Linked DNA regions of Nothobranchius furzeri. The protein of the gene in region 1 interacts with the protein of each later gene in a biochemical or structural test. Links are inferred from orthologs where the notes say so. Each region holds a gene or a part of one and is shown on either strand. Other genes may lie near its edges.

Region 1 (16,669 bases):
ATCACAACTTTTCCACAAAACCTCACTTCCAAACACAGGCTAATAAGTTGTTGCCAATGCAGGTGAAAGGTTTAGATCTACTAAATCTTGCAGTTGACTGCAGGGTTAAAAAAAGGACAAGAAGATCTTGTGCTGGAGGTTTTTTAATCCTTATATTTGGAGCCAAAGCAGCCTCTGAGCTTCAGAATGGAACAGCTGAGCCTGTGTGCACGGACTGAAGAGCTCCACTGTATGAGACAGTCTCCAGACTGCCAGCCTCTCCTGGGTTTCAACATCTGTCTCGCATTCAGTCTGAGTCTGTTAAATCTGCGTTTGCCTTTAATAACACCTGTCCGCAAACACCTATTGTGTTTTTACTTAATTGTAGTTATGTCCTGGAATATTCTAGAGAATCAAACACCAAAAGGTGTATAAGCTTTACAGCTTTATGATGGTGTTGTGTTGCTATGGTGCAGTAACACCGGCTGGACTCTGAAGTGTGTGCCAGTGAATACCAGCTTGACACAGCGGACATAACACAACGCTGCCCTCTAATATACAAACTAAATCCCGACGGCACCGCGGGAATGTCTGGACTAAGGTTCTTCATTTACAACGTTCCTCTGTTTTCCTCACCACGTGCACCTCCTCAGCAGCTTTACTGTATTCAAGATAAGAAATCACAACACAATACACTATTTAGTCAACATTTGCGTGCTCATTTGCTCATTTATGTCTAGACACATTTGCATATTAATATATTAGAATTAGAGCAGGCCCCCATTTTAAACACAAAAACACAGTTTCAGACAATATTTAAATATTTGTCTTTGTTTGAGGACTCACCAGGGAGCACAATCAGAAAAGACAGAAGATTGCTGCTGTTTCTTTATGATGGGTGTGCCTGTGGGAAACAAAGCTGATAAGACCAAAGGGGAAAAAAACTGCTAAATTGTTGTAAATGTTTGATTTTGAACAGTCCTTGTGGAGCACCGCACACCACTGCATCCTTCTGTTTGCCTCGTGTCAACATTAGAGGTGAAGTGTTGCTGAAGGACGATCTGAAGACAGTTTTCATCCTATAGGGCAGCAGCAGCTCCACCTGTTACCCTCTGGGTCCAGGCCGGTGGCTCCGTCAGCTGTGCAGGGACTACCAGCATGGAGCGCCACATGGATTTAGTCAGTTGTAATAAGAAAACAGGTTCTGCCTCCAGCTAATGTGTGGTTAGTTTTTGTAGTTAGCATAAAGGCCACTGGAGGTCAGCACAGCATCACCACCTCCTGAATACAAACATTCACTATTTCATTAAAGTTAAGGAGTAAAAGCTAAACTTTCAGAGAACCTGTACCACTTTATTACAGTTTTATTGAAACATAATTTTGTGTACAAAACAATTATATATTAAAGTATTTTATTATAAGTTTTTATCAACTCTATGGCAAGCACAAAGAGTCAACAGTTAAAGTTTGGACTGATATGTAAGTAAACTTTAAATGTTAACTTTAGCTGCAGAATCTATTAATTTGTGTGTGTGTGTGTGTGTGTGTGTGTGTGTGTGTGTGTGTGTGTGTGTGTGTGTGTGTGTGTGTGTGTACTTGTCTATACATCAAAGTGAGGACCAATGACTAGCTTTTTACCTGCAAACTGAGGACATTAGTACCAAAGTGAGGACATTTCTGCGGGTCCTCACTTTTAGGTTAGGCTTAGGCACAATCCAGTCTCTAAAATGAATGGTAGTCAAGGACGGTCCTCACAATGAATGCTAGATGAGAAGGTGTGTGTGTGTGTGTGTGTGTGTGTGTGTGTGTGTGTGTGTGTGTGTGTGTGTGTGTGTGTGTGTGTGTGTGTGTGTGTGTGTGTGTGTGTGTGTGTGTGTGTGTGTGTGTGTGTGTGTGTGTGTGTGTGTGTGTGTTGATAGTTTAACAGGTATTTTTGGCAGAAGTGGTTATAAGAAAAATGAATAATAATCTTCAATTGACCCTAATTCCCCTCAGCTTTAAAGCGGTCTGATGTTTCTTCTTCAGATTGACCCAGCTGTCATCTGAAGATAACTTCTTCAAGTTAGGGAATTAGGACACCCTTACTAGGGAAGCCAGAGATCTGTGGCTGGAACCTCAAACTCTGATAAGGAAGGCTTTTCTTGCCCTTTGAGTCTTATTCCTGATATGCGGAGAATTCAAATCCATCAGGTAAATACAGTGGGATGTAAAAGTTTGGGCAGCCTTGTTAATCTTCATGATTTTCCTGTTATGATTTTTAAAAATGTCAATCAAATATATCATATAGGAGACACACACAGTGATTATGGAGAAGGGAAATAAAGATTATAGGAATTATATAAAGTGTGCAATAATCTTTTAAGCAAAATTAGGCAGGTGCATACATTTGGGCACTCTTGTCCTTTTATTGATTCCAAAACCTGTAGAACTAATTATTGGAACTAAAAATAGGTTTGATAAGCTCAGTGACCCTTGACTCCATACACAGGGGAATCAAATTATGAGAATGAGTATTTAGGGGGCCAAATGTGTTTCCCTCCTCTTCTAATTTTCTCTGAAGAGTAGCAACATGGGGTCTCAGAACAACTCTCACATGACCTGAAAACAGATTGTTCACCATCATGGTTTAGGGGAAGGATACAGAAAGCTGTCTCAGATATTTCAGCTGTCTGCTTCCACAGTTAGGAACGTATTGAGGAAATGGAAGACCACAGGCACAGTTCAGGTTAAGGCTCCAAGTGGCAGAAGAAGAAAAATCTGGGATAAACAAAAGTGAAGAATGGTTAGAACAGTCAGAGTCTACCCACAGACCAGCATCAAAGACCTACAACATCATCCTGCTGCAGATGGAGTCTATGTGCATCGTTCAACTATTCGGTGCACTTCACACAAGGAGATGCTGTATGTGAGAGTCATGCAGAGGAACCCTTTTCTCCGCCCACAGCACAAACAGAGCTGTTTGAGGTTTGCTAAAGCACATTTGAACAAGCCAGCTTCATTTTGGAATAAGGTGCTGTGGACTGATAACAGTAAAACTGAGCCATTTGTGAATAACAAGGGGCGTTATGCATGGACGAAAAACACCTATCTACAGTAAAACATGGTGGTGGTTCCATCATGCTGTGGGTTGTGTGGCCAGTGCAGGGACTGGGAATCTTGTTATTGAGGGACTCATGGATTCCACTCAATATCAGTAGATTCTGGAGACCAAAGTCCAGGAATCAGTGACAAAGCTGAAGCTGCACTGGGGCTGGATCTGTCAACAAGACAACGACCATAAACACTGCTAAACATCTACTAAGGCCTTCATGCAGAGGAACAAGTGAATGTTCTAGAATGACCATCTCAGTTCCCAGACCTGAATATTATTGAACATCTGTGGTGTGAGATAAAGAGAGCTGTCCATGCTCAGGGGCATCAAACTTGAATACACTAGAGATGTTTTGTAAAGAAGAATGGTCTAAAATACCTTCGGCCAGAATTCAGACTCTCATTGGAAGCTATACGAAGAGTTTAGAGGCTGTTATTTCCACCAAACCAATTTTGAGTTCCAATAACTAGTTCTACAGGTTTTGGAATCATTAAAATGACAGCAGTGCCCAAATTTATGCACCTGCCTAATTTTGTTTAAACAATCATTGCACTTTTTGTTAATCCTATAAACATTGTTTCCCTTATCAAATATCACTGTGTGTGCCTCCTATATGATATATTTAATTGCCATTTTTTGTCATAACAACCAACGATTTATAAAGAAAAGTTATGAAAATTAACAAGGCTGCCGAAATTCTCCTATCCCACTGTATTTAGTTAAAACATCACACAGAGAGGAAATAGGTCTTGCATTCATCATGCATTGGTATGTCTTGTAAAGTTAAACTAACACAGGATGAATAATAGACAAATTATTACGGATATTCTACATGCATTCACAATCCTTTAATTAAAAGTCAGAAAACTGATGATGAAATGCAAACATGAGTGCAGTTTTATCATTTAGCATTTCGTTATATTAATGAAAAATCTTGCTTTTCTGCAGGTGACTTTAATAATCGTACATATCAGCGTAAGTCATTCAGCCAAATCCAGCAGGAGAACTGAAGCATGTCAGCACTTTGGAGGAAATAAACCAGCAAAGTATGAAACACAAACAAAACACATGAGAACAGAGTATGCATCATCTTAATAGAAAATCAAGAAGTTGTATTCACTTCAACTACCTTGTTGACATGAGACTGGTTGAAAATTCTGTTTAATAATTAAGACAGAGATTTGTAAAAGACAGAAGGAGTCTGAAGAGTTTTTGTGTTTTCCAAGAAAAAAATCAGTGAGGTTCTGAACTATGTTGCTCTTCAAAATTCAATTCTATTTCATTTAATTTAGTTATATAGTGCTCACTTACTAGTGCTAGATTCCATTTTCTGCTTTAATCACTTGTAATCTGACATTTGGTTTGACAGGCCAACTGGATGGAATACCAATAATTAAATCCTCTGGTTTTTGAGGTTACGGATTTGTCCGCCCTCTGCAGGGACAAAACTGTTATTACAGGCAGCGTTCATAATGCTAAACTAGACATAACTCAGCAACACTTCCTGTGGATTTCTTCAAAATAAATTATACTACTTTAAATGACTGCAGGTAAACTATTTCACTACCAAAACGACAAATATATTTAATTATCTGTGGTCAACACAAGTAACTCAACAATCTACAGCTGGAGCTATTAGCAGCTAGTTACAAAACAAATGTATATAATTTTAAGGATTTTTATTAAGATGAGGAGGCTAAAATATTCTTAAAAGGGCCAGATCATGTTATTTAAAGCCTTTGAGAGCAAAGGTAGGCAGAGTATATAATGAAATCTTATTGTTGGCATGATTGAGATGTCATTTTATCTTAAATATGAGTTATTTTAATCAGCCTAAATTTATACTCAGAAATGAAGTGGTCTGTTTCAGTAAAGCTCCAGTCACACCCATTCCAACCAAACACACCTACAATGGTGTCTTGGGCAAACCAACTGTTGTGTTGTCCTTGGTAGTCTAGCAGTTAAAGCAACTGCCTTTCATCTTTTGCTGTGTCCTCATGCCAGTTCGACTCCTGGTGTGGGTAGTAATTTATTTAGCCAGCTGAAGCAGGTTCCATTTTTAAAAAATGTTTTAGTTTTATTGATTATTTTCTGCAAAATATTTAGTGTCTTTAAAGATCTTTGAATTTAGTTATTTCCAAGCAGTATTGTAGTTGATACTCTGCTCACGTCACATGGACTCACACAAAGAAAGTAAAAAAAAATAAAAATTTAAATTGTTATTATATTTTAAACTGTTTAAAAAGCTGGCAGGTGTAGCTAGGAAATAAGAAAAAATGTTACTGCTGAAACTGGGAGTCAAACCGGTGTAAGACACCATGAAACATAGGTACTCTAACCACTGGGCTACCAAGTCTCTTACAAAGTGTTAAACACATGTTCTGTCCTAGCCATTCACTGTGGACAGGATGCATGTTTTTTACAGCAGTGTTTTGTCCCTAATGAAGAAGTCATTTGTCAGAACATCCACTCTGGTACAAGTGGAGGTTTAAAGCAGTCATGTAACACAAAGGTCACATTCTAAACTGCAGCACGAAATCAACCACTCTATGCCTGCAACTCGGAGAAAGTGGGCATTACTGACTACTTCCAAGAAAGGTGGGTTCCAGATTGCAGCCTAGCTTCAGGGGAGGAGCAGGGCATAATGATGTCCTTGATTTCCATCGAGGCTTGTGGCTGAGACAGGAACAGGAGTATGATTGCAGCCAAAACAGGTTTCGGGGTAATTTTAATGAGGAAATGTCAATAACACATTGTAAAAAGCTCCAAAAAGTTGATTTCCCATGATATGGTCCCTTTAAGCAGTTGTAGATAAGAAAATACCACATTCGGCTGTGCACAACCACCAATTATTCCTGTCAAACCTTTCTTGAGACCTCATTTTAGATCAAACTGCACAAAACACATATGTTTCACTTTAAATCCTGCAAAAGTTTCCACCATAACGTCTTGCTCTTGTGCACTCCTACAGACATTAAAGATGGCACTCACCATCCTCAGCCCAAGGTTACAGCATTTCCATCCTCTCCATCTGTTTGTTGGCTCAGCATTCCCTCATCAGCTGACAAGACACTTAGACAAATCACATTTACTGTCAAACTAAATCCTCTTGACCTGAAAAGACAGAAATAACCAGAAATTCTCAGAAAAAATGTGTGAATGTGTGTGTGAATGGGTGAATGACTGATTGTGTTGTAAAGCACCTTGGGGGGCTCGAGGGCTCTAGAAGGCACTATATTAAATACGGGCCATTTACCATTTCACCATTTAATTTGAATGCACACCAGAAACAAGCAAATGTGCCTTGAAACGTTTTCATGCACCTGTTGATGTTGGGTATCCAAGACCCAAGGGATCCCCACAAAATAGTCTGTGCTGTGGTTGTCAGGTTAGTGAGATGTATTTTTTATTACATTTATACAATCCCAATAACACATCAAAACTCCATAAAAAGCTATAAGTTAGCTTAAAGTTTGTAAATGATCACGTGTGCGTGTAGGAGTTGTGTTTGGGGTTCCTGGCTAGTCTTGGACACAGGCAAGGGGGTCCTATAAAAAAGTTTGAAAACCACAGCTTTAAATGAAAAATCTTTGCTTCAGCTGTTTATTTGTAAGGGAGTGTGGATTATACACACTTCTGTGCTGAAGTTGGGAAATAAAGCAAAGACTTCTGCCAAAAATATGGAGAACAGCTGCTCTGCTGCATGCACTGAGCCTATAAAAATCCAGACAAATTTCAGAGTCCCCCAGCCTCTCGTTTTTCAGGCTTGATGATCCCACCACAGCTGTCAGACAAACGTACATTTCAAGGTGACTTTATTAATACAAAAAAATTAGATTTATGCTTAACTGGTTAACTTTAAGCAAATGCTGATTCAAGTCCCCATGGGAGTTCTCTTGGTTTCACCTTTCCCTGATGATGCCATGACATATCAAATCAAATCAAATTTATTTATGAAGCGCTTTTCATAAGAATGCAGCTCAAAGCGCTTTACAATATTAACAACAACCAGACAGCAGTCGGTTTCCCACTCCTCCCACACAGATTCACATACAGGATCCGCTTTGTATTTCCCTCCTCCCACACTCAATCCCATCCCAAGCACACACACACACACACACACACACACACACACACACACACACACACACACACACACACACACACACACACACACACACACACACACACACACGTAAAAGAGAAAGGGCTGCTGGCTGAGTGTAGATGTAGTAGGAATAAATCAAGACTGCACCGGGAGCAGCAGGATCGGTAGCAGTAGCCTGGGCAAGAGGAGGCACGAGAAGCACCCCAACCACCACAGCCAACCGCTGCCCCTGGGTCAGCCGGCCCCCACAGAGGAAACACTGGTTTACTAATGAGACTAAGATAACAAGTTAAGAAACAAATTAAACATAAACAGCTGATGAATAAAAATCTAAATAAAACACACAGATAAAAGATAACCAAGCAGAAACATATAATTAAATATATAAAAATATTGTACAACAGATTATTAATACTGGTTAAAACTAATAATTATTACAAGTTAAAAAAATATATAAGAAAATATGCGTCATTTAAGTAAAACACTAATAAAATACATAAAAGATGGTAAAACAGGCTAAAATAGATCAAAATCACTGAACTATCGCTGTACTAAAAAGGTGAGTCTTGATCCTGGTCTTAAAAACAAGTACACTCTCTATGGCCCTGAGGTCCTCTGGCAGACTGATCCAGAGGTGAGCGCCATAAAACTGGAAGGATGCCTCGCCTTGGGAGTGTGTTCTGACTTTTGGAATGACGAGGAGATGGCTGTCAGAGGAGCGCAGGGACCGCGAAGGCTCGTATTTATGAAGCACGTCTGAGAGATAAGAAGGCCCAAGACTATTAAGACATTTAAAAAGATTAAAAGAACCTCAAAATCGATCCTGAAACATACAGGAATCCAATGTAGCTTGTTTAAGACACGTGCAACGTGCTCCTGCCTCCTGGTCTTCGTCAGGACACCAGCTGCTGAATTTTGCAGGAGTTGTAAACCTGAGGTACTCTATTTGGGAAGACAAGATAGCAGGGCATTACAGTAATCAATTCTATTGGTGATCAAAGCATGCATCAGCGTCTCTGTATCGGCCAGAGAGAGAAAGAGGCGGACTCTGGCGATGTTTTTCAGGTGATAAAAACCAATTTTTGCAATGTTCTTAATGGTGGGGATAAAAGTTAGCTCAGAATCAAAAATCACACCCAGGTTCTTCACTTGAGAAGACTTCGGTTTTGTCCAGGTTAAACTGGAGAAAGTTTTCTGCCATCCAGGATTCAATATTCGAAATGCAATTAAAAAGGGCATCAAATGGTTGTGCGTCATCGGGAGACACAGAGATGTACATCTGTGTATCATCTGCATAACTGTGAAATTGTACTCTGTGTAGTCCGATGACATCACCAAGTGGAAGCACAAGCATATACAGATTAAAAAACACTGGGCTGAAAATCGAACCCTGGGGCACACCACATGTAATCTCAGGGGTCTTAGAACAGAAGGTATCTAGACTTATCATAAATGTCCCGTCTGTGAGACACAAAGTAAACCATTTATGGATGGCACCAGGGGCGGCGTTAGGCCCGGCTACTTGGGCTCAAGCCCCGAATGTTTTATGAAAAGACTAAGTGCGTGTTACGTGTGTATGTGCACGCACGTGCGCGCGCGTGTGTTACGCCCCGGATCTTTTTCAGTCCTAAATCCGCCCCTGGAGAGGCAGATGTGTTTTAACCGGGTTAAAAGAATGTTGTGGTCCACTGTATCAAAGGCAGCACTTAAATCCAGTAGAACCAGAACAGTTACTTTCTGTGAATCAAAATGTATTCTTAGGTCATTTAAAACTCTTTAAAAATATGCATGCCATGCGTGTATACGTGCACGCGCTCGGAAGACGCTGGGGAGGATTGGAGAAGGGAGGGAGAGAGAGGGAGCGAGTCAAGTGGATTTAAAAACAGAAATTCCAGCACAACATCATCAATGGTTTCCTAAAAGCCTCACAATGACAGCTGATGACATTAGAAATGATTATTGATGCGGCTGTTTGCTCCCTCGTGGCGCCTCAGCCAAGGAGCGCCAGGTTGCGCCGGAGCGCTGCGTCAGGAGCTTTTTTTTTTTTTTTCGCTTCTCAGTTTTGGAGACACACTCAAAAGCTCAGAGTGATGACCTGAAGATCAGCTCCGTCTCTTCTCCGGCAGCATTTCATTAATCTAAATGAACAAGTTAACGCCTGAAGTGTGTGTGTGTGTGTGTGTGTGTGTGTGTGTGTAAAGGTTGTTTTATTTTTTACCAACACGGATTTTTGTTTTCCCGGAAAGTGAACTGGTTGGCGTGACTTCGCTAAATATGTTTGATGGATGAAAGATAACATGTCAGGAGAATTTAGTGACAGAAATGAGGAAGGCTCCTCCGGGACGGTCCTTTCTCCATCCTTCAACTCCAGCTGCGTTTTCAACAGCACCAACTGCTCGCACCGGGACTTCCACATGTCAGACTTTGGGAAAGCTGAATTTGTTGGAGATGGCGCTGCTGTCGTGAGGATTACTATCTCCGTCATTTACTCCCTGGTCTGTGCTCTTGGTCTGGTGGGGAACTTACTGGTTTTGTACTTGATGAAGTCCAAACAGATGTGGAGAAAATCCTCCATCAACCTTTTCGTGACAGGTTTGGCGGTGACCGACTTCCAGTTCGTCCTGACACTGCCGTTCTGGGCAGTGGAGAACGCGCTGGACTTCACCTGGCCCTTCGGCAAAGCCATGTGCAAGATAGTATCCTACGTGACAGCCATGAACATGTACGCCAGCGTGTTTTTTCTCACGGCCATGAGCGTGGCGAGGTACTGCTCCCTCGCCTCTGCGCTCAAAGGAAGGCGGCGGAGGACGCACTGTTCGTCCGCGCGCTGCGTCTCTGTGCTCATCTGGTTCTCCGCCGTCTCTGCCGCGCTGCCGCACGCGGTTTTCTCCACCACCGCGACCTTTTCCAACGAGGACCTGTGCCTCGTCAAATTCCCAGAAACAAACGGCTCGGCGCAGTTCTGGCTGGGACTCTACCACTCGCAGAAAGTGCTGCTGGGCTTTTTGGTGCCGCTGGGGGTTATCTGCGTGTGTTATCTGCAGCTTTTGCGGTTCATCACCAACAAAAACATCAACACATCGAGCGCAAAGCGGCGCGCCAAGGTCACCAGGTCTGTCACCATTGTGGTTCTGTCCTTTTTCCTGTGCTGGCTGCCCAACCAGGCGCTCACTGCCTGGGGCATCCTCATCAAACTGAACGCGGTGCATTTCACCTATGAGTACTACACCATGCAGGTGTTTGTGTTCCCCGTGTCCGTGTGCCTGGCGCACTCCAACAGCTGCCTGAACCCCATCCTGTACTGCCTGATGAGACGGGAGTTCAGAAAGGCGCTGAAGAATCTCTTCTGGCGCATGACCTCTCCATCTGTGACCACCTTAAGACCAATCACTGCCTCAATAAAGCCGGAGCTGGACGAGCGCGGACACGCGCTCGGGGTCGGTAACGCACCGGCGGCGCTGGACGTGGTGTTTTATCCCCCGGGGGCTGTCATTTATAACGACAGGCGAGACCTACCGCAGAACAGCACTTAGCGCCATGTGAAGACCTGGCAGCTGCGCTGATGGGGAATTATGCGCACCAGTCCAAGTGAAATACATTTTAACGAAAATTAAAGAGAAAACAATGTTGGATCAATCACCAAGCTCCTATTTGTTCACATAATGAACACATCCAAACTTTCAACACTTAGTTTGTCTTTTGTTCACTAGAAGCAGCTAAAACACCCACTCTGTTTTTTTTAATGTGCTGTTCATTCAAAAATGTCACAAATGTTTAGTAAAGCTGTCAGTGGAATGTTGGACACCTGCTGGTTCTCCTCTTTGATCAGGATGACATTCCCTGTTGAAGAATTTCATGTTCCAGATTTAAAACGAGGCCAGTTCCACAGAAGACTGATGGTTGGTCACACATCTCAACAAGACAGCTGAGGTTTCAAAAGCTGTTATTTCAAATAAAGAGTTGGACTGAAAAAAGACGCTATTGTGCAAGCAGGATAGCTTCCTTCCTGTGCTTGAATTTGTTTTGGGGCATATAGTTATAATATTTTTATTTTTCATTCTAATTTGGGCAAATAAAGCCTATATAACATAAACTAAGGATTTTAACATACAGCAGTCTAATGTTCTCCATTTGGATTTATTTTTTATTTAGTTTTTGCTCAAAGGATGTTTAAGAAATTACAGGAATTAAATGAATTTCAGCTGACCTTCTGGCTGAAAGGTCAAATAACACATTTGGAAAATTAATTGAAAAAAAAAAAGGATAATTATTCAAAACCTTTTGTTTAATAATTAACCTACAAAGATGTAAATGCATCCTTTACACCCGCTCATCCGGGCAGGGCTGGCGCCTATCCGCTGTCTGGCCAAACAAACAAATACATCCTGGACTTGTCAGTCCATCACTGGTCATGCAAATAATATTTCAAAATGAAGTTAAACACAAATAGTTATTTGACTTATGTAAAATGTGTCATCTTTTATTAACTGAGACAAAGCAGGAATTCAGTAGAAATAAAAAAATAATAACAGAAGTCAGAATTTGATCTGAGCTGTGCAGGAGGAAGAACTCACATTCATGTTTGCATCACTTGCATCCTTTTCTTTTTAAAGGCATGAACAACTCTAAATAAACCCCGGGCAACTTAATAATAATCTACAAATTACAGATGGTATATTTTCTGTGACTCAGTTACATTCTATGCATCCATGCTTGATTAATCAGCATTTATTTTGCCCATAGAAGAAAAACTGGTTGAAGATCCAAAGCGAATGCAGCAAAATTATGGAATTTAAATATGTCAGTGTGTGTTTAGTTAAAAGCTAATTTGCTCTATCTGAGTGTTTTTGAGAGACAAAGTCACCAAATAGAAACACAAATAAATGTCAGCTTGGATTCAGAAACTCATCATTGACCCTCCTGTAAAACCCAAACAAGCAGTGCAAAGGAAAACAGCTTTGATTGTTCTTTGGCACATGAAAGCAAGGTTAATTTAATTAGAGAGAAATGAGGGAGACGGTGTGTGTGTGTGTGTGTGTGTGTGTGTGTGTGTGTGTGTGTGTGTGTGTGTGTGTGTGTGTGTGTGTGTGTGTGTGTGTGTGTGTGTGTGTGTGTGTGTGTGTGTGTGTGTGTGTACAGGTACAGGACCAGGCTAATAAATTGATACAACAGAGCAATCTGTCATGTGGGTGATGAATGTCACATCAATCCAGCCCCCCCAAGGAACCCCCTTTTGTGGGATTGAACAGCCTAAATCAAAATTAGGATTAGGAATTCAGATTCCAGAGTGAATTTTCTTCAGGGGATTTACTGATGTTCACCCTTCTGACTGTGCTGATGAGGAGGCTTTATTTGTCAGAAATGTTGAGAAACAACAGAAAAATAAATCTTTAATAAAACTTCTCCTTTGTTCTGTTTCATACGCGATCCTGCTTGTTTTTGTTTCCCCTCCGGAAAGGAAGCGTTGCCGCTTAGAAGTGAGAAACACTCAAACGCGGTGGTTTCAGATGCTGCAGCTGTCACTGCCAGAGTCGCAGTGAGCTATTACACGTTGTCAGGGGTGAGAACAAGCCTTGTGAGGCGAAGGATCACATTTGGAGCCTGAGAGCAGAGATGCTGTATAACGAGGGGCAAAGAAAGGTACCTTCATTCTGATCCAGACTTTAATGAAGAGAATAGTGTCCTGTAGCTCCCACCATCACCCCATTTTTCTTTGTCTTCTTGTGCATTAGATTTTCTGACATCAGCGAAACCTGCTGGTCCATTCTCCGGCGTGCAAAAGGTATATTCTGTGTTTTTGACATACAGTAGGATCAAAACTTAGGGCAGCCTTGTTAATCTTCCTGATTTTCCTGTACACATCGTTGGTTGATACGATAAAAATGTTCACTTAAATACATCATATACACAGTGATACTTGAGAAGTGAAGCAAAGTTTATGAGTTTTTACAGAAAGTGTGCAATAATTGTTTAAACAAAATTAGTCAGGTGCATAAATTAGAAAACAAATGAACTCAGTATTCAGTAAATCCTTCTTTAACAAAAATAACAGCCCCCCTTCCTATAGCTTCCAATGAGAGTCTGGATTCTGGTCGAAGGTATTTTAGACCGTTCTTTACAAAACAGCTCCAGTTCATTCAGGTTTAATGGCTTCCAGCATGGACAGCTCTCTTTCCTTCACACCACAGATGCTCAATAATATTCAGCTCTGGGGACTGAGATGGTCATTCCAGAACATTCTACTTTTTCCTCTGCATGAATGCCTTAGTAGATAATGAGCAGTGTTCAGGGTGGTTGTCTTGTTGACAGATCCAGCCCCGGTGCAGCTTCAGCTTTGTCACTGATCCCTGGACATGCAGAATCTGCTGATATTGAGTGGAATCCATGTGTCCCTCAACTTTGACAAGATTCCCAGTCCCTGCACTGGTCACACAACCCACAGCATGATGGAACCACCACCATGTTTTACTGTAGGTAGCAGGTGTTTCTCGTCCATGCATAACGCCCCTTGTTATTCCCAAATGACAGTTTAAGTTTTATCAGTCCACAGCACCTTATTCCAAAATGAAGCTGGCTAGTCCAAATGTGCTTTAGCAAACCTCAAGCAGCTCTGTTTGTGCTGTGGGCGGAGAAAAGGGTTCCTCTGCATGACTCTCACATACAGCATCTCCTTGTGTGAAGTGCACCGAATAGTTGAACGATGCACATAGACTCCATCTGCAGCAGGATGATGTTGTAGGTCTTTGATGCTGGTCTGTGGGTAGACTCTGACTGTTCTAACCATTCTTCACTTTTGTTTATCCCAGATTTTTCTTCTTCTGCCACTTGGAGCCTTAACCTGAACTGTGCCTGTGGCCTTCCATTTCCCCTTAAATACGCTTTCTCATAACAAATGAATTCTGAGTTCCAATAATTAGTTCTAAAGGTTTTGGAATCAATAAAATGGCACTTCCTGTAAATCCTATAAACTTTGTTTCACTTCCCAAATATCACTGTGTGTGTCTCCTATATGATATGAAATGAAATGTTTTATCATAACAGCCAACGGTTTATACAGGAAAGTCGTGGAATGACTTTAAGGAATGTAATTTTTCTTGGCAATTCTTTAAAAAAATGAACTGAACTTCTAATAATGAAAGAAAAAGTTTAGGGGTTTGTTTTGAAGGTATTTACAGCTTTCTTAATCATTTTGAGAACTGCTAAAACAAAGCAGGATTTGATAAAGGAAAAAAAATTCCTTAAAGGAATACTTCTCATCGGCTGTCTTTTGTGATCGAGTTTTAAACTAAGACATGTAGGGTTATACTCATTCACCTTTGACCTTTTGCTAGGATATGAAATGTAATGAGAACAGGTGAAATTAAAAAATATAAGTAAAAGTTTATTTCAGTAGTTCAACCTAAAAGGTGAAACTAATTTATGAGATAGACTCATTAGATACAAATCCAGATATGTCAGCCTTTATTTATCATTGTGATGCTTATTCTTACAGCTTATGGAAACCCCTAACTCAAATTCTTTAAATATTCTAGGCTCACATCCATGGCTAGTTCCTGAGCTTCAGATGACTAGCAAGATTGACTTACAGTAATGTGTTTTTATATAATAATAAAAGAACAACAACTTAGTCTCAAGTTCTTTATATAATTGCAGTGATTTAGTAATAATAATGTCTAGGAAGCAAACTCCACATCCAGCATATTTGTTATTGCAACACTTCAAACTTGGCTTAAGTCATCTGAGGTGAAACTAACCCGGATAAAGAAACAACAGGTTAGATAAGGAGCTGGATTTTTGAGACTGACAGGGACGGAAACAGAACAGTGAGTGGTGACTCATCCCAAGGAGAAGTGATAATCTTCTACCAAGACGCTGCACAGGCTGAGCTGTGTCTCCTTGGTCCAGGATAAAGGGAACTGTAAGGCCATTGCATCAGAAAAAGAGGAAAAGGGCTGAAAAGTTTCCTTGGAAAACTTAAAACTTAAATGAGACAGAAAATGTAAAGTTTGCCTACCATCTGGCAGAGAAGACTGAGGCTTTATAGCAGGAGATAATTACAGAGGAGCAGCTGGACACCCAGTGGACAAGAAACTCCTCCCTAAAGTTAAACAGGGAGCAACAGGATGAGATGATTGGAAGGTTTGGAAAATAGACTGATACTAATTTCATCCACCAATTGATGCCATCATGGAATAGAACTGAAATATAATTTTTACAGTTTTTTTCGATTGCTAAAACTCAAAAATCAAAAATGAGGCACGAATTTTACAACCTCTACTTCAATTCCCAATCGCCTGACTCCATTTATCACTACTTAAGATTGCCTTATCATATTAGCTCTCTGATTGTCCTCCTTTACACTCTGATGTCAATTTCACATCACCATGCTGTCAAAGCACAGCACACAATTTTCACGTTTACACACACTTGTCAAACAAACTCTCAAAGCTTCAATCAACAACACACAAATATTCAAATCTCTAAACTTTCATGTCTGGTGAGCAATTTGCAATCAGGGACTGCAGCATAAAAGTAAGTTTCCACAAGGCTACCCAGGTGTATGAGCGGTTTCAGGACCACCCACGGTTTTCCATTTTATACCTTCCACCTTATTCCCCCTTCCTCAATCCCATTGAGGAGTTTTTCTCAGTCTGGAGGTGGAAGGTGTACGAAAGGAATCCACAGAGCCAGGTCCCACCGCTTCAAGCCATGGAGGAGGCTTGGAGATGTGGCCTTTGAGGCCTGTCAGGGCTTCATGAGGCATTCGAGGCAGTACTTCCAGCGCTGTTTGGACCAGGAGGACATCGCCTGTGATGTTGATGAGGCCCTCTGGCCAGACAGAGACCAGAGGCATGATGCCCCATGATTATGCTTGAATGGGAGAGGGGGTGGAGGTGGTTACTGTAACTGTAAAAATAAAATGTTTTGTCTCAAAATTTGTGTGATGTCTAATGTTTGTCTCAGAGAAAAGTGGGCACTGTCATACATTCAGTGTGTAATTCATTGTGTTCCCTTTAGACAATTGTGTTTTCAGTTTTGCTCTTCAGTGTTCTTTCCATGCTTGGTAGTGTTCACCCAAAGGCTACCTGTGTTTAAGCAATGAATGGTATGTGTGTGTCATGTGAAAATGTGGCTGTGTTTACCAAATGAAAACACGTGTTCCATTTTGGGAACATGTTACGATATGTGATGGCAGGGTTTTGTTGCAAAGGGAAGCCACGGTTTAGCAATTTGTGTGTTATGTTTGGGGTTTTGTGTGTGCAGTTTTGAAAGAAACGTACAGTTTTGAAAAACGTGTTTTAGCAATCGAAAAAAAACTGTAATAATCGTGGAAAATGAATTCTGAGATCTACACACAAGAAAATGCCAACCATGGAGTTCTGATTGCTAAGTAATATACAAAAGATATTAAAGATGTATTTAATCAGCATTTGCAGAATCATGACCTTGGATTTAAAGGTGCTGAACCACATCCCAGCCAATTCACGCAC
Region 2 (16,039 bases), on another chromosome or scaffold:
GCAAATCCCACACACGTAGAATTATCTTCTTTATATTTTTATGGCGGATTCTGTTGTTGTTGATTCTCGTTGCTGGGTTCTGGTCGCCAGGGCTACCGTGGCTATGGCGCTTCGTCCTCACCAGGGCAACTGTTGCTACCCACCCGCTCCCTTCCCTCCTCCTTCCCTACGCTGATTGGCTGAGTGCTGCCGATATGTCTTAAAGTCACAGTGTCCCCCCTTTTTTTTTAAGTCTTCCACACCCATTTGTATTTTCCACAAGTTTAGTGGATGTTTAATCAGTAAAACAGTAGATATGTCCTTATCAGGGAAGTGGACAGTTGGTAGGGATGTTTAACCTTCAAAGAAACTTCTAAAGCTCAACATCACAATTCGTAGGCAGTGAGAGTTGTGGCACTTAACAGGACATAAAATGATTGGAAAGACAGGGAAAAGACTTTAAAAAACAGTTAAATTATACGTTTTTGCAGGATGTTTATCCCCTGAAATTTCTGCAAAATCATAATTATTCTACTCCTTAAATTCCAAGCTGTTTTTTTTTTCAAGACAAACAAGCCTTACAATCAAATAACCATTTGTTGTGTTATTTCAGTTCCCTGTGAGAATCATGGCAAAATGTGTCGTTGTGAACCATTTTAACATTTAATTTAGATTTTTAGAGACAACAGGACCTCATATTTGGTGTTTCTGGACACACAGTGAGGTCCTGACCCCACCTTTGGGCACCACTGCCCTAAGGAGCAACTTAAGTGAGTTGGGACGCAACAGAAAACCAAAGACTGATAATTAAAAACTTTAACATTAGTTGCAAATGATTTCAAATTATATTACATTTATATTAATAAAAGTACAATTGATTAAATTTTATATTGCCACAATGACCTATGTGGCAATATGCTAATGAGTGTCAGAGTGACCACCCTACCAAAATGCCATTTAGTTTGCTTTTTTTATCCTTGCATTCATTACAGATTCACCATCTTTATTGTAATTTCCTAAACGAGTGACCTTTGACTATGTGGATAGATAAAAATGTGTTTTCTGTTTTAGTGACTCATAATGGGGTTTCTATGTTATCTGTTTCTGAAAATGTCACAGGACCTGTCTCAGCCCCTCCTGTTCACCTTTTGGCAAAGGGCTAACAAAAGAGAGAGAGGAAAGGGAAACGGAACTGTCTCAAGCCATTTAGGGTCAGGTGTAAATGAAGGATGCTAAACTCAGAGTGGTAGTAAATCTTATAATGGTCAAATTATCTTTAGCTTTTAAATTAATTTATGTTGCTAATCTTTTTGTATGATTTTTGTTTTAAATATTAATCACGTTTTTAATTCTTAGAAATTAAGCAAGTCGACATTTAAATCATGTGTATTTGGGACCAATTATAAATAGTAAATTTAAATGTAATTTTGTCAAGGAATTTACCTAAAAAAATATTATTTTACATATTTTTTCTAAGTTTTGCTCGTGTATTTTTATGTTAGTTTTGATGATTTCAGAACATTTTATTTATTAGGGTTTTGATGTATCTGAAGAAATATTCAGGACAACTAAAGGTGACTATTATACGTCACACTGGAACACATTTGTTGATTAGGCCACTTTTGCTCATCGACATGTATACGCTTTTGCTCTGCCTTTTGTTTGCATAAAGGTCTCTCATCATATCTGTCTTTAAAATCTCTCTCTTTGCAGGAAAGGCCTGCATGCGCAGTGTGAGCGTCTGCCATGCATGTCTCCAAACTCCTTTATAAACCACCACTGGGTCACCTGCAGAGTCACAGCTCAGGCAAGCAGGGAGACTGAAGCAAATTACCTTTTCCTTGTTAGAATATTAGTCTATTGCATTTGCTTGTTGCAGCATGTGGAAAGCTGTGGTTCTGGCCATGTGTCTGATTGTGGCTGAGGCTCAGCCCATGGAGGATCCGACGTACGGTGTGAAGCTGTGTGGCCGAGAGTTCATTCGAGCTGTTATCTTCACCTGTGGAGGTTCACGGTGGAAACGATCACTCAGGGGTCCAGGTAAGAAGACAGAATATGCTGTTCAGGTGTGATGTGTCAAATTTACAATAGCAGCCCCCCCACGCACCCCGCACATGCCTAAGTAATAGTCTTTTCTTTTCTTGCTATTTATTTTAAAAGTGGTTAAAATGTGTATGTTCATTGTGTTAAAGTAATTTCTTTCCCACCTATGCTTTGTGAACTAACACAGCACATGTTGTTGGGCTGCTAGCTGTCAAAAAGTACACATTTTTGCTCGATTTTCTACCAAAACAATACAAAATAAATTTAAAAACGCTAGTGGAGACTAATTATAGGACTTTCTTCTCACAAAGAAACAATGCAAATGATCAATTTTTTACCTTTTTTTTGTAGTGGCTCAGTTAAGATTTGAAATAACTTCCTCAAATTAAGGGACTTTATGTTTGACACTAACCCAGTCACTTCCCACTTTCAAAATCTGAGCTGCTGTTTCCTCAAAACTCTGTATAAAAGGATTTTATGTTCACTTTTTCTCTCGTGCCATTTTTATAATGTTTTAACAACAGTATACATCGACCAGTTATTAAATTTGTTATAAAAAATAATTCTGCAGTGTTTGATTTTTCATTTTTCCACTCCAGCAGATGTTCCAGAGGACCCGTTCAGTTCCCATCAGGACGATTCTTCAGAGGGTTTGAATCCCAGTTTTTCAGTGGAAAGTCTCCTCCAGAGGAACAAAGATCTCAGCTTTACACCCAGAAACAACCAGGAGGGGGTTTTCAGCAGGTCGACACGCTCTTTCATCACTGACGAGATCCTGGAGGCTCTTCGTAAAGCTGACCGCAAAGGTCGGGATGTGGTGGTGGGGCTGTCTAACGCCTGCTGCAAGTGGGGCTGCAGCAAAAGTGAGATCAGCTCTCTTTGCTGAGGGTTGGCTTTGGAAATCTGTGTGCTTGCAGATGATATTTTTACACCAATACTTCATCATGCAACAAACATGGACGTTTATTTTGACTTCTACAGAACCTAAATCAGTCTTTTTTTTATGAGTGAATCTTTAAGGATTTTGGGTCAAATTTCTTCCGCTGATGGATGAATATCACTAAAAAGTGTATTTTGACTTCAAACCAATTAAATTCCATTGCTGCTGCAACTGTTAAAACCTTGATGTCATAAATGTTTGTTAAAACTGCGGCATAAAGTCACTCCTGTTCTAGGTCTACCATTATTGATTGCAAACATTTTTTATTTTATTTTTCTATTGTTTCATGTAAGAGAGAATGCTTATAAATTCAAATCAACAACAATAAAACTGTCACAAAACTGTAAAAATCTTACAAACATGTTTCTGTGTCTTTTTACCTCATTTTAAAAATGTAACCTCACAAATCCCTGATCTTCATTTAAGGATACTGGATTCTTACAATTTTAGATTTCATTTTTATCAACTTAGTTCACAGAGCTTTAATTTGAAATATTTACATCTTTATTATAACAATTTGAGAAATAACAATCAGCATTTTTTCTATTTTTAACTTGATCCATAGAATTCTGCAGTTAGTAATTGAAATAGGACTAGATACATGCACTGAGTCAGTATAACCTACAGCAGGGATGTCCAAACTTACAAGAAGGCCAGAATCATAAAGTTAAAACTCCTCATGGGCCACAAAAATGTACATTTTTTAGGAATGCAAATTTATAACTGAAAATATTAAAATATATGAATTTATGTCAATCAATCAATCAATCAATCAAAGCTTTATTCATAAAGCGCCTTCCGCAACCCTGTCAGGAAGCCCAAGGCGCTGATATCAACAGTCTCCTGGGGAGACTTCCACAATTCTAAAATTGCTAGTGAGGGCCGCAAATGGCCCCCAAACCACACTTTGGACTCACCTGACTTAGTTTTTAAAGACTGCACATCATTTATTCAGGTTAACACTTTAGAAATCAGTTTTTGTTCTAAAATATGATTTTACCTTTCACACTGTTTATTTGGGGTATTTTTCATAGATAAAGAAATGTCTTTGTGACAGGCAAGTAGTTGTGTCATAAACTGACTCAACAGTGGTTTGATTTAGAAGCATTTCATGTCTGAACGGTCAATGTTTTTCTGGCTTGGAAAACATAAGTCATCTGAAAATGACTAGAAAGCTAAGTACACAGAAAAACTGAAGCAATGATCATTTAACAACTCGTACGGTACGTTCTAATATTCTCCCTTTAAACAGGCATAAAGAAAGGTGGAGATGACTGATCACACGTTTTACGTGACTAAATGAAAGTAAAACTTGAAAGCGTAACTATTGTTTGTACTCATTAACACGGTTTCAGTGCCAGTGTACGTCATCCGTTTAGTCTATTTATGTTTTTAAATGATAGCTCAGTGAAATGATGGTGAAAACAAGCACGCCTGTGCTGCAAAAGCACGTTCAAGACGTGCGGGAAGCTAGAGTACAGAATCTGCAGCATCAAAGAATACAGGCACGCGCATGCGTCAGCGGCATTTCCTGGAGTGGGCGGGGCTAAAAGCTCACAACGGGCACGAGCAGAGAAGGCAGCGTTAGTTTCACAGTTGTGTCTCTATTTGTCTCGCAATGAGGTAAATCTTTTGTGCTCATCACGTAATCCTACCAAAGTTAAAGCTAATTGTCTGACTACTTATGTTTTCGGTTTAGCAACACTGTTGCGACCTGTTGACAACCAGCGCGTGAGCTTGTGAATCATAAACTTTCTGATGGATGCAGACGCTTCATTAAGCTGGTTTTTAATACTCAGAAGCTTCCAACTTGTTTCCTTTTCGCTCTCTAGACGTTGTTTATTATTGTCTAGAACGCGGCTACATGTTTTCTTTGTCTTTTCTGTTGTTTACAGACACAAATGTAATGGCCACACCTACGAGGAGGTGGCTGCTGCCCGTCTTGCTGGTCATCCTACCGTCTGGTTATCCTTCCTCTGGTAGGTCTGATGTTCACCTAGAAGCTAGTTTAGTCACGTTTAAAATGTCCCATGTGGTGCCTTTACAGGTAACATTATAAACTTTAACAAGCATAACACTCTACAACTTCTGTTGCTAACAATTAATCCTGGTTTATGTAAAAAGTTCATCAGATCAGAACCAAATCCTCAAGAGCAGGTGCCTTTCAACCATTTAATTACAAAGAGCTATATGCATTTTACAGCAACAAGCTTCCATTTATTGCATCAGATATTTAAACGCCTGACAACGTCAAACTTACTGTTTTATTAAAGTTGCACACCAAATATTCAATTAATCATTCTAAAAACATTTTTATGTAGATGCTTACAGTTTACTTTGAATGTAGTGAAAAGGAAGTGGTCTTTAGAGAGGAGTACACTCATACAGACAAGCTGCATATTTCCTGTTACCATTACTCACATTGCGCCTTCTTGTAAAGTCTGCTTTGCAGCTATTCAACCAGAGCGTAGGTTTATGAGAAATGGGTAAGGTGGCAGGGCTGTGATATTGAATTTTTTTTTAAAAAAAGTGTTTTTGTGTGCAGGGACAGGTAGATGAGTGTTACTGAATATAAAACCCTTTGCTGTTTTTTGTTATTTGTGGTTAAATGAGACCTATACTTTTTTAAAAGTTATTGTTCTATGGTTGATATAAAACTTTTTTTTGCAAACAATCATCTCACATAAACCCATTTCAGCAGTTTTATTTTTGACATTTTCAGTACCTTCCACAATGAACCGTTTCAGAGTTATATCACTTCAAGACAATAAGCTGGCCATGCCCACTCACCCCCTGATAGGTTGGGGGTTTTACAACACATGAAAACGGAGAATGACGGATTCTAGTCCATCCATCTCAAGCCCTACTGCTTCATTTTCCTCTTTTTCCCCTGTCACTGAGAACTGTGTGTCCAAGCTTCTCACGTGCAGCCGCCCTACTACATGCCCACTCTACCCCATTCCGACTAAGCTGCTCCAAGCTATTGCTCCTACAGTAGCCGCAGCAGTCACACATGTAATCAACGCTTCACTGACATCCGGTACATTTCCCACCCCTCTCAAGCATGCTCAGGTTAAATTGCTGCTAAAAAAAACATCTCCTCCTACAAATCATGTGGAGAACTACCAACCTATCTCTCTCTCCTCCCTTTTCTGTCCAAAGTCATTGAAATGGAGGCTTTCAAGCAGATCACAGAATACCTCTCACAAAACTGTCTGCTTGACCCTTACCAATCTGGGTTCAAAAAGAGCCACTCCACTGAAACTGCTGTTAGCAGTGACGGAATCTTTAAAAGAAGCTAGAGCGACTGCCAAATCCTCGGTGCTTATCCTCCTCGACTTATCGGCTGCATTTGACACTGTCAACCATGGCTTCTTTTTGTCCACACACTCTAGCATGGGCATCACAGAGAAAGCACATGCCTGGTTTGAATCGTACCTCACAGAACGATTATTCAGTGTATCTTGGCTTGGACAATCCTCTGCTGTGCACCATCTTGCCACAGGTGTCCCCCAGGGCTCTGTACTAGGACCTCTTCTCTTTGCCATATACACTACCTCACTGGGTGAGATCATTCGATCACATGGCTTCTCCTACCACTGCTATGCAGACGACACCCAGCTCTATCTGTCATTTCCACCAGACGACCACACTGTCTCTGCACGAATATCAAACTGTCTCTCTGACATATCAAAATGGATGAAATCCCACCATCTCCAACTCAACCTCTCTAAAACTGAACTACTCGTCATCCCAGCAAAACCATCCATGCAGCACAATATTTCAATCCAAAATGACTTCCTATCTCTGGCTCCTTCAAAGGTAGTTCGAAATCTGGGTGTTGTGATTGATAAACACCTGACCTTTAAAGATCATGTTACCTCTGTTGCTCGTTCATGCAGCTTTGCGCTATATAACATACGAAAGATCAGACCATACCTAACACAACATGCCACCCAGCTCCTGGTGAAATCTACTGTCATCTCCCGCCTCGATTACTGTAATGCCCTTCTAACTGGTCTTCCAGCCTGTACTGTGAGACCTCTTCAAATGGTCCAGAACGCAGCAGCGCATCTGGTCTTCAATCATCCAAAAAGAGCACACGTCACTCCTCTGTTCATTGAGCTCCACTGGCTACTGCTAGCAGCACGCATCAAATTCAAATTGCTAACACTAGCATACAAAGTCCGAGATGGTACAGCTCCCATCTAACTGAATCCTCTTGCAAAGGCTTACATCTCAGCCTGGCCGCTCCGGTCATCACAGGATCATCGGCTAGCAGTGCCTACACCACGCTCAGGACAATCCAGACTCTTAACATTGTTCCACAAATGTGGAATTACCTACCAAGCACTACAAGAACAGGGGCTTCCTTTTCGACTTTCAAGAAACTCCTGAAGACCCTGCTCTTCAGAGAGCATCTTTTTAACTAGCAACTTCCTTGCACCCATCCCCCCCTCTACTGTCCACTCCTTGTTCTCTCCTCTTCATGATTCATCGCGCTGCCTCACTGCCACCTACCACTGACTGGAAATTGTTTGTTGTTGTTGTTATTATTGTTGTTGTTAGCCTCAAGGGCAACATGCCGATTATAACTTGTAAGTCGCTTTGGACAAAAGCATCTGCTAAATACATAAACAGAAACATGACCTACTTGTGACTTGCAAAGCAGACTTGGTCACACGACTGCCACACATGAAAGTGAGTTTAGTTCATTTATTTCATTTATTCATTTAGCAGACGCTTTTATCCAAAGCAACTCACAATTTATAACCTATAGGGCATGTTGTGATATCTGTGGGAAACCGGAGTACCCGGAGGAAACCCACGCATGCATGGGGAGAACACGCAACTCCACACAGAAAGGCCGCAGCCGAGCAGAGTTTCGAACCTGCAACCTTCGTGCTGCGAGGCAACAGTGCTAACCACTGCGCCACCATGCAGCCATTAGTCTTATTTGTGAGGAGGAAAAAAGATTTGTGTTGTTCAGATGATCCTAAAAGTATCAAACAAGGGACACATGTGGGCAAGTAAATCTGGCTTGATAGCCTAGAAATCTAAACATACCGTAGCAGGTCAGTCTAGCTACACTCTATTCTAGGTCTACCATTGCCCCGAACAAGTTTAGGTCTGGCCAATCACAGCACTTAATGTTTGTAGAGAGACGTTAGGTGGGTTTGGCACGTCAGTGAAACCTACAAAGATGGCGTCTGCTCAGTGACTGTGCTGTTTTGAAACGGCTTTGGCATCAACTCTGAACAATTTCGATTTGAGCTTTTCTTTGAGACATGAGCAGATAGAGGAAGTTTTATTTTGAAAAACTATATTTGCTCCGTTGACTGAGTTCTGCAGCGAGGAGTGCGTCTCACTTCTTGTTGCTCTAATTCAGGCATGACCAAAATGCGGCCCGGGGGCCATTTTTAGCCCTCTAGAATGATGAATTTTGTCTCTTCAATAGGATGTTTATTGCCGCTTTGTAACATACTTATGTTTAGATTTTTACTTATAAGCCTATTTTGGATTTATTTTGAAGAGTACAAATAAAAATTAATATAAAATAATGTTTGAATTTTGTAAATTAAGAAAATCACATTCTTGCCGTGACTGTTTTGGCCCTTGTCTTGAACAGTTTGGACATCGCTGCTGTAATTGGTCCTAGCACTGAGACAGTTTGAAAGAGCAAGCAATGACTGTGTGTTGTAGCCAGACCATGTGTACATGTACAGGATGGCTTACCGGACTACTGGTTTGGGCCACTTTAGCTTGGTTGCAGTGTGAACGTAGCCCAAGCTGTAGATAATCAAAAGGAACAATATTTATGTGATTATATTTATTTTCACAATAGAGCTTCAGAAATATTCTGTTTTTGTGACTCCTTCTGTCTGCAATAATTCCACTTTTGGTAAAATTTTGGGAAAATATGAAAAATGTGCTGCTTCTCTTGGTCTTTTAGGTCCCCCTGCTCCTCCGTCTGAACCCGAGTGCTACAGACCTTGTAGTTCACACAGCTGTTCTGTTATACGTTGTGTTTGGACTCCAGATCCAGAATCTGACCACTCCACTAACTACAGCCTTCACTGGGAGCCAACAAACACAGAGTAAAGCCCATTTCTTAACAGAGATCTTGCTTTAAGTTTCTTCTAATCTTATTTAGCCTTGTGCCTTTTTTCCAGTGATGATAACATTAAAGGGGGGAGGAGCTACGATGGGTTAATCCATCGTGAAAACTTCCGTAGCCATGGAGAACTTCGTGTTTGGGTCCAGGCTCAAAACCAGAACGGTTCTGCCAAATCTCAGGATGCTCTCATCGACACAGAGGCTATCAGTGAGTCAGCCCAGAACATTTATTCATTATCACCAAAAAGCAAAAGATCTTCAGTCATGTATGAGTGTTCAATAATAAAATATCTAATGAAAACACCAAAATAGCTCTAGTCACATTTACAAAGATTTGGCTAAAATGTGATGAGATAGTAGCTTTTTTATTTAAAGGCTTTACAGGGTATCCACGGGTCCTTAAAAAGTCTTAAATTTACTTTTCCAAATTTAAGGCCTTAAAAATCCTTAAAAATTACAAATAATTCTTAAATACAGTTTCCAAAGGTCTTAAAGTACCAAAGACCCAATAAACAAGATTCTTTTATTTCTATAAAATTTTCGTGAATTTCTAGTTGGTGTTCAGCATTTTGTGTATGATGTTGGCGTAAGCGGAACCGGACACATTCAGTATGTTGTGAAAGGGGGCTATTTTTAGATGAGCACATTAGCTGGTTAAGCTAGTGGGAGCTTGCGTCATGGGGCAGTGCAAGTTTAAAGGGGCATTATGGAAGTTTGACACCCAAAACATGTATAGAAATAATAAATTTCTTCTTCATACATCCTCCTGCAATGCCCTGGTCCTGTAGAATGAGCCCTGGCATTTTTACTGTGATTGCCTGTTTTTCTGTAAAATCACAGAAAAAGAGAGCTGCTCGGGTCGAGCAGGCTGCTTCATGCACGTTCACGCTCAGGCATAGCCCGTAGCATTTGCTATCCATAGCTTTAGCAGCAGGGAGTGAGGTAGTGCCAACTCAGCGACTTTGTCGCTGTTCCTAACGCCTAGTGATGAACCTAGCTACATTTCTGAGGACCCTTAGCTACTTTCTTCTAGATATTTCCTGCAAATTAGCAACGAAATAGCCATTTTTGCTTTGAACCGTTCTTTGAACGTTGTTTCAGCTGTCATCAAGAATCTAAAAGTTACAGATACATAAGACATTATTGGCACTGTAGCTCACTTAGTAAAATGTCAGACTCTCATGCAGAAGATCCGGGTTCGATTCTGGATGTGAACATAATTTATTTAGAATTTATTTATTACATTAATGGTATATTTTTTTACAGTAAGATGCCCAAATTTTTATTTGAGACTCGCCTAACGGCGTTGAATTCACAGATAAAAAAGATGTGGGTTCAACTTTCATTTTGGAACAATTTTTCAAGCAAGGGAAGGGAATGATCTGAGCATGCAGGAGGACTGACCCATCTTAAACCTTTGTCGGCTGTGCTGAAGAGAAAGGTACAGAACCAAATTATTTAATTAGTTAGCTGCACGTTCTCCTGTCCTCTGTCCTCCGGGCCACACACACACACGCACACGCACACACACACACACACACACACACACACACACACACACACACACACACACACACACACACACACACACAGGACTGTCTCAGCTGTTATTTTCGTTAAGGAGTGTGCACGTACAGCATGCTCGCCTCGTGCACGAGCCTACTATTGAAGCTGCTGTTACGGTTTTGGCCTGAGGGGGCAATCACGAGCATAAAAATTCAAAACTCCATAAAGTCCCTTTCGTGCATTTCTTTATGGGAACACTAAACTAAAGTAGTTTCAGGTGCATTAAAGACAACTCAGAACCATAATGGCTGACAACTGTAATAAAATGTTGCCACTTCATCTGTAAAGTATTAACTTTGGCCTGCGTAATATTTTGGATGTATGACTTGTAGGTGTCTGATTGTTGTCTCTGTTTTTCTGCCCCTCCAGAGAAACCGCCCCCTCCTTTGTTTTTATCCAACCATCAGGGTTCATTAGAGGTTACCTGGAGTGTTGCCTGTGTGCTGCAGCCGAGCCAAGGGACGTGTGAAGTCAGGTATCGTGCTGAGGATGACCAAGGCTGGCCTCAGGTCTGTTTCAGTGTTTCCTTTCGTGTGTTTTTACATCTCTCACGCTGTACGCGTCACCTGTTTACAATAAAGGGAAAAGTGCTGCAGTATTAAATGAGTGAATGAATGTAAACGCGTGTCGTGTTCTTAGGCTCAGTATGAAGATGGGTTACATAACAGCTTTGAAGTCCCAGATCCCCGGCCTGGCTCAGAATATGAGTTTCAGGTCCGTTGTGCCTGTGACTCCAGTCTGGTGAGTGACTGGAGCGAAATCTACAGAATAAGAAGTGCAGAAGCAGGTGAGGCTTTATAGGATTTAGATCCATATTCATATGATTATAAATGAGTTCTGACCGCAGAGCTTATACAGCTGTTTTATTATTTTATACAAGAAATTACTGCTTTTTTTAGTTAACCATTTCTTTAGACATTGATTGGACCCACATTTGAGTTTCCTGGTACTATAGTGGCAGGAATAGCGGCCTTTCCTTCAGCATGGATTGTGTTGCTCTCAGTTCACTTCTGAAGCCATTTTTCTGTCCACTTGTCTTGTTTTCAGCTCCAGTTGGAGAGGTGGACGTATGGATGGACTGTGTCACTCCCTTCTCAAGCTTTGATTGTTTTCTGACCTGGAAGGTAAATGTAAAAACCAAAACTAAAGAATGTTTCCTGCTAACACAGACTCATGCCGCTCTAAATCTTCCTCATCTAGAATCTTTCTATTTCTGAGGCGCGAGGATTCATCCTGGGATACCAAGTGACAGTTTCCTACAGTAACGGCACTGTGAAGCACATCAACGTGTCCACGGTGGACCCAAGCAGCGTCTGGGCGTATGATGAGATGAAGTGGTACCTAACCTCGTCTCTGAAGCGCGTGTCATCCGTTTATGTATCAGCCTACAACTCCATTGGTACCGGAAACGCTTCTCATCTGGTCGTACCAGAACCAGGTAGCAAGCTTTCAGAATCCATACAAGTATGGAAATCTTTGGGTCAAAGACCCGGATCACAATTCATCTTCTGGATAAAAGTAGCAGAAAACTGGTTGTAAAGTTTCAACAGCTGACATGACTGACATCAGACTAAAGACCTGATCAATGTGTACAAGTCATTCAGACATCAGACACAACACGCTCTGTCATGCATTCATATAAGAAAAAGATGATCTAACAGGAGTTAAAGCAGCACAGCAGTAAACAAAACAACTCTTCAGAGAAGAACGTTTCCGTGAAGTCATTCACTGCCAGCCGTTTCCTGATCAGAAAAGCCCTTCACAGCCAGCGTTTTTACTGTTTTTTTAAGAGTCACAGAACGTTGCACGCTGGGATGATGTCGACGCCAAAACAACCAAAACAAAGCGGAGACTCACCTCTTACATCAGGAAGAATCCACGCGTTTCGAGCGTTATCCGTTGTTGAATTGTGATCAACAGAAGCTTTTCCGGTTCGCACCTCACTTTTTCTTTTTTACAGCAGCGGCCCAAAACGATCTCCTAACACATGGATTTTCTGCTTCCTGATCACGTGACGTGTGACGTACGCAGATGAAGCTCTGCTTTAGAGATGGGATGTTTGTTCTCACGGTGCGGGGGCTCGTTCCGAGTTCAGTCGTCGTTGGCAGTGAATGAGTTAAAAACGGAGAAAGAGCAGTTTGTTGTTGGTGAAGACTTTTCTTTGGCCATTTGTAATAAAACTCTTTTAATGGCACTAAAACGTTTTGTCTTCCTCCAAGGTGAACACACAGATGATCAGATTATTGACCTTCAGATGACTGAAGAGAACCTCACTGTGTCGTGGACGCTGCCCCCCCACTTCCCCGACAATGTGAAACATTATGTGGTGCAATACAGGGAGTGTTGGCCTGGCCGAGGCTTGGACTGGATCAAAGTGGACAAGAGCCGGAGGACCGTTTCTTTTAAAGGTCTGCGTTGTTTCTAGATGAGACGATGCTTTGTTAGACAAATAAGTCACCTCTTAGTTTAAATACTGATAAAAGGTGTTTGGCGGTTTCAGACTTGTTGTTTTACTATTGCTTGTGTCTCCACCTGTAGGGGTGTTTAAAAAGTACACGTCATACCAGGTGTCGTTGTTTGTCGTGTCGGATTCAAACCAGATCCGTCTGATTTCAACAGCCGTCTCGTATTCTGTTCAAGGAGGTCAGTGAGATCCACGAAAGCCCTTTCAGCTGGTATAAGTCCATTTTCATGTCTGCTCTTCTCTGGTTTCCCATCAGTTCCCTCTGCGGTGCCGTCGTTTAACGTTTCTGTTATTGCTGCCACTGATGTGACTCTGTTCTGGGAGCCTGTTTCCTGCTCCAAGCGGAACGGGAAGATCTTGCACTACCAAATAGGGGTAGAACACGCAGGAACTCAAACAGGTACAGAAGTTACAGATGCATCTAAAAAATGTGAATATTGTGGAAAAAGTTCAATATTTTTTCTCATTTCAAGGGAAAAAACTCATAAATAGATTTATTACACGCTGAGTTCAATATTTCAAGCCTTTGCTTCATTTATTTCTGTGTTTATGGCTTACAGAAAAGGAAAAACCAAAATCTGTGTCTCAGAAAATTTAAATATTGTGAAATATGTTGAATATTGGAAACCCACCTGAAACACCTGCAAACGTTTCCTGAGCCTCCTGGTCTGCCTGGGCCGATGGAGAAGATGAGTGACTGGACACGTGTCCAGAAGTGTCCACCCTGAGAGGAACCCTCGGAAGCTCCTTGCTGAAGAAGTTGCTTGTTAGGGAGGGTTGCATCCGAGCGTGTTCATAGAAAGTTGAGTGGAAGGAGAATGTGCACCAGCAGGGAGAACCGCAGCCCTGAGAGGATGGTGAAGATAAAGCCATTCAGGAATGTGGAGGAGCGTCTCCAGGAGTGGACGGGTGCTGAAGTCTGAGCACCAAGAGCCTGTACGCACAGACTAGTCCTACACACGGGCTACAGGTGTCTCATTCCTGGTGTCGGTTTACTCCTGAACCAGACACGTCAGAAACATCTTCTACCTGTGCTGAGAACAACAGCTGGTTGGTGGTCTAAAGTCCTCTTTTTAGGTCAAAGTAAAGTGTGCAGGTCTGTTGCAAATCAAAGTCCCACCCTGAGTATAGAGGGGGAGTGGAGAGGAACGGGATCCTTGTTGCTGGAAGTCCGTGTGAAGTTTCCACGGTCCGTGATAATGTCGTCTGCTGCTGGTGGTCCTCGCCGTCTTCTGAAGTCCAGAGTCAACGCAGACATCCAACAGGACATTTTAGAGCTCTTCGTGCTTCCTTCCCCTGACAGGCTTTATGGAGATTCTGGTTTCATTGTCCAGCAGGACTTGGCACCTGCCCACACCACCAAAGGTACCAGAAGCTGGATCCATGATTCTGGTGTCACTGGGCTGGATTGGCTGCCAACTGGTCTGACCTGAACTGCCGATGGGGAATCTATGGAGGAGGATGAGACACCAGACCAAACCATGGAGATGACCTAGAGGCTGCTATTAAAAGCACCTGGGCTTCCATCACACCTCAGCAGAAGCACAGGCTGATGGGTTATGCTGACCCTAACCCAGGCTGGTGGCCTCCATGCTGCACTGATGCAGTAATTCATGCAAAAGGAGACCCGACCACTTATTGATGCATGGAATCAAACCCTTCAGAGTCCCGAAATGTGTGTTTAAAATATTCCTATTGACCTTTTGTAATTTTCTGAGACACTGCATTTACTTTGTCAACCACAGCCACTTTATGTAATCTGTATCAGAAAAAAAAATCAAGAAATCAATTTGGCGGATTTAATATAATCTATAGGTATAATTAACCAAAAAGGGCAAACGCAGCAAACCTGTGTTTTTCTCAAATGGCTGCAGAAGTAAATGTGTTCATCTCACCAGACGACATTTCTCCTCTAGTGTACAACGTGAGCGTGACTCCAGATCATGGAACAATGACCTACAAGCTTCCCGGTCTTAGTCCAGGCAGGAAGTACAAGGTTTGGATTCGAGCTGTGACTGCTGCTGGGCCCGGCCCAAACGTCACCACGACTTTAAAAACCAAGCATGTGGAAGACTTGGGTATGACATCATCATGAATGGAATGTGTTCAGTTATAATAATGGTTTTAAATGCTGATAGAATCTGTTTAATGCGTTTTTTCTTCAGGTCATGTGATCCACACCCTGGTGCCCGTTGGGTTTCTGTTGGTCACAATTATTTTTGTTGCACTTTGGTAAGAAAATCAACCTAAACTTGTCTCTGAGTGGTTTGATGTATTTGGTAAAAACAAAGGCTGACCAAAGTGCCGTTCATAAGAACCAAGATGAAAACAAACTGATGAAAGAAATATATGAGCACAAAGGTGTAAAACTATTTAAGATGAGGCCATAATCAGTGTCTCACACTGGGTCAAAGGTCATTGTACATCTCAGAGACTGAGGTGGCTGCAGGAGATCAGAAGTAGGAGGGGCAGAACTGATAAAAGACTCGAAAACAAATAAAATAATTCGAAACGTAGTTTGTGGGTGAGATGGAAGCCAGAGTTCTCTTCATCCTGTACAAGTTAAAAAATCAGCTACAGGTGAGCAGCTGAAGATTGTAAATGGGGAAAACAAAAACTAAACAGAATTTCTCTCTCATAGAACAAGGCTGGATTATTGAATCAGCCATATTTGATAATTGCTTGTTTTATTTTGAAATGGCCTCTTCGACTAATGGTCTCTGTCTTGTGTCTGCTGCAGTGTGACCAGAGGACCGAGAAAAGTGTGTCCTGTTCTGCCTCAGTGTCTGTATGAAAAAGTGCCCGATCCTAGCAACAGCCACATCTTTAAACACATGAGGCATCAGGTGAGAATCTTCAAAATCCTTTTGTTAGATCATTTCTAATCTAAACTCAATAAATGTACTTTTTTAAATTATCGCTCTCTAGAT

What was found.
Region 2: the proteins of rxfp3 (region 1) and rln3a form a complex in vitro, tested with the Homo sapiens proteins (2 studies listed by BioGRID, with this or other methods). The link is inferred for Nothobranchius furzeri from reciprocal best matches to the Homo sapiens genes RXFP3 and RLN3.

What each region holds. Positions count from the first base shown.
Region 1 is NC_091746.1:59,468,665-59,485,333, forward strand, and holds rxfp3 (relaxin-3 receptor 1), read left to right. Parts: upstream 1-9,255; 5' UTR 9,256-9,463; coding exon 9,464-10,711; 3' UTR 10,712-14,118; downstream 14,119-16,669. UniProt on the Homo sapiens protein: Receptor for RNL3/relaxin-3. Binding of the ligand inhibit cAMP accumulation.
Region 2 is NC_091752.1:53,616,924-53,632,962, forward strand, and holds rln3a (relaxin-3a), read left to right. Parts: upstream 1-1,718; 5' UTR 1,719-1,859; coding exon 1,860-2,019; intron 2,020-2,621; coding exon 2,622-2,908; 3' UTR 2,909-3,321; downstream 3,322-16,039. Other genes in the region: il12rb2l (interleukin 12 receptor, beta 2a, like), read left to right, coding at 4,869-4,941, 8,916-9,060, 9,136-9,287, 11,015-11,154, 11,285-11,432, 11,693-11,769, 11,846-12,083, 12,865-13,053 and 6 more. UniProt on the Homo sapiens protein: May play a role in neuropeptide signaling processes. Ligand for LGR7, RXFP3 and RXFP4.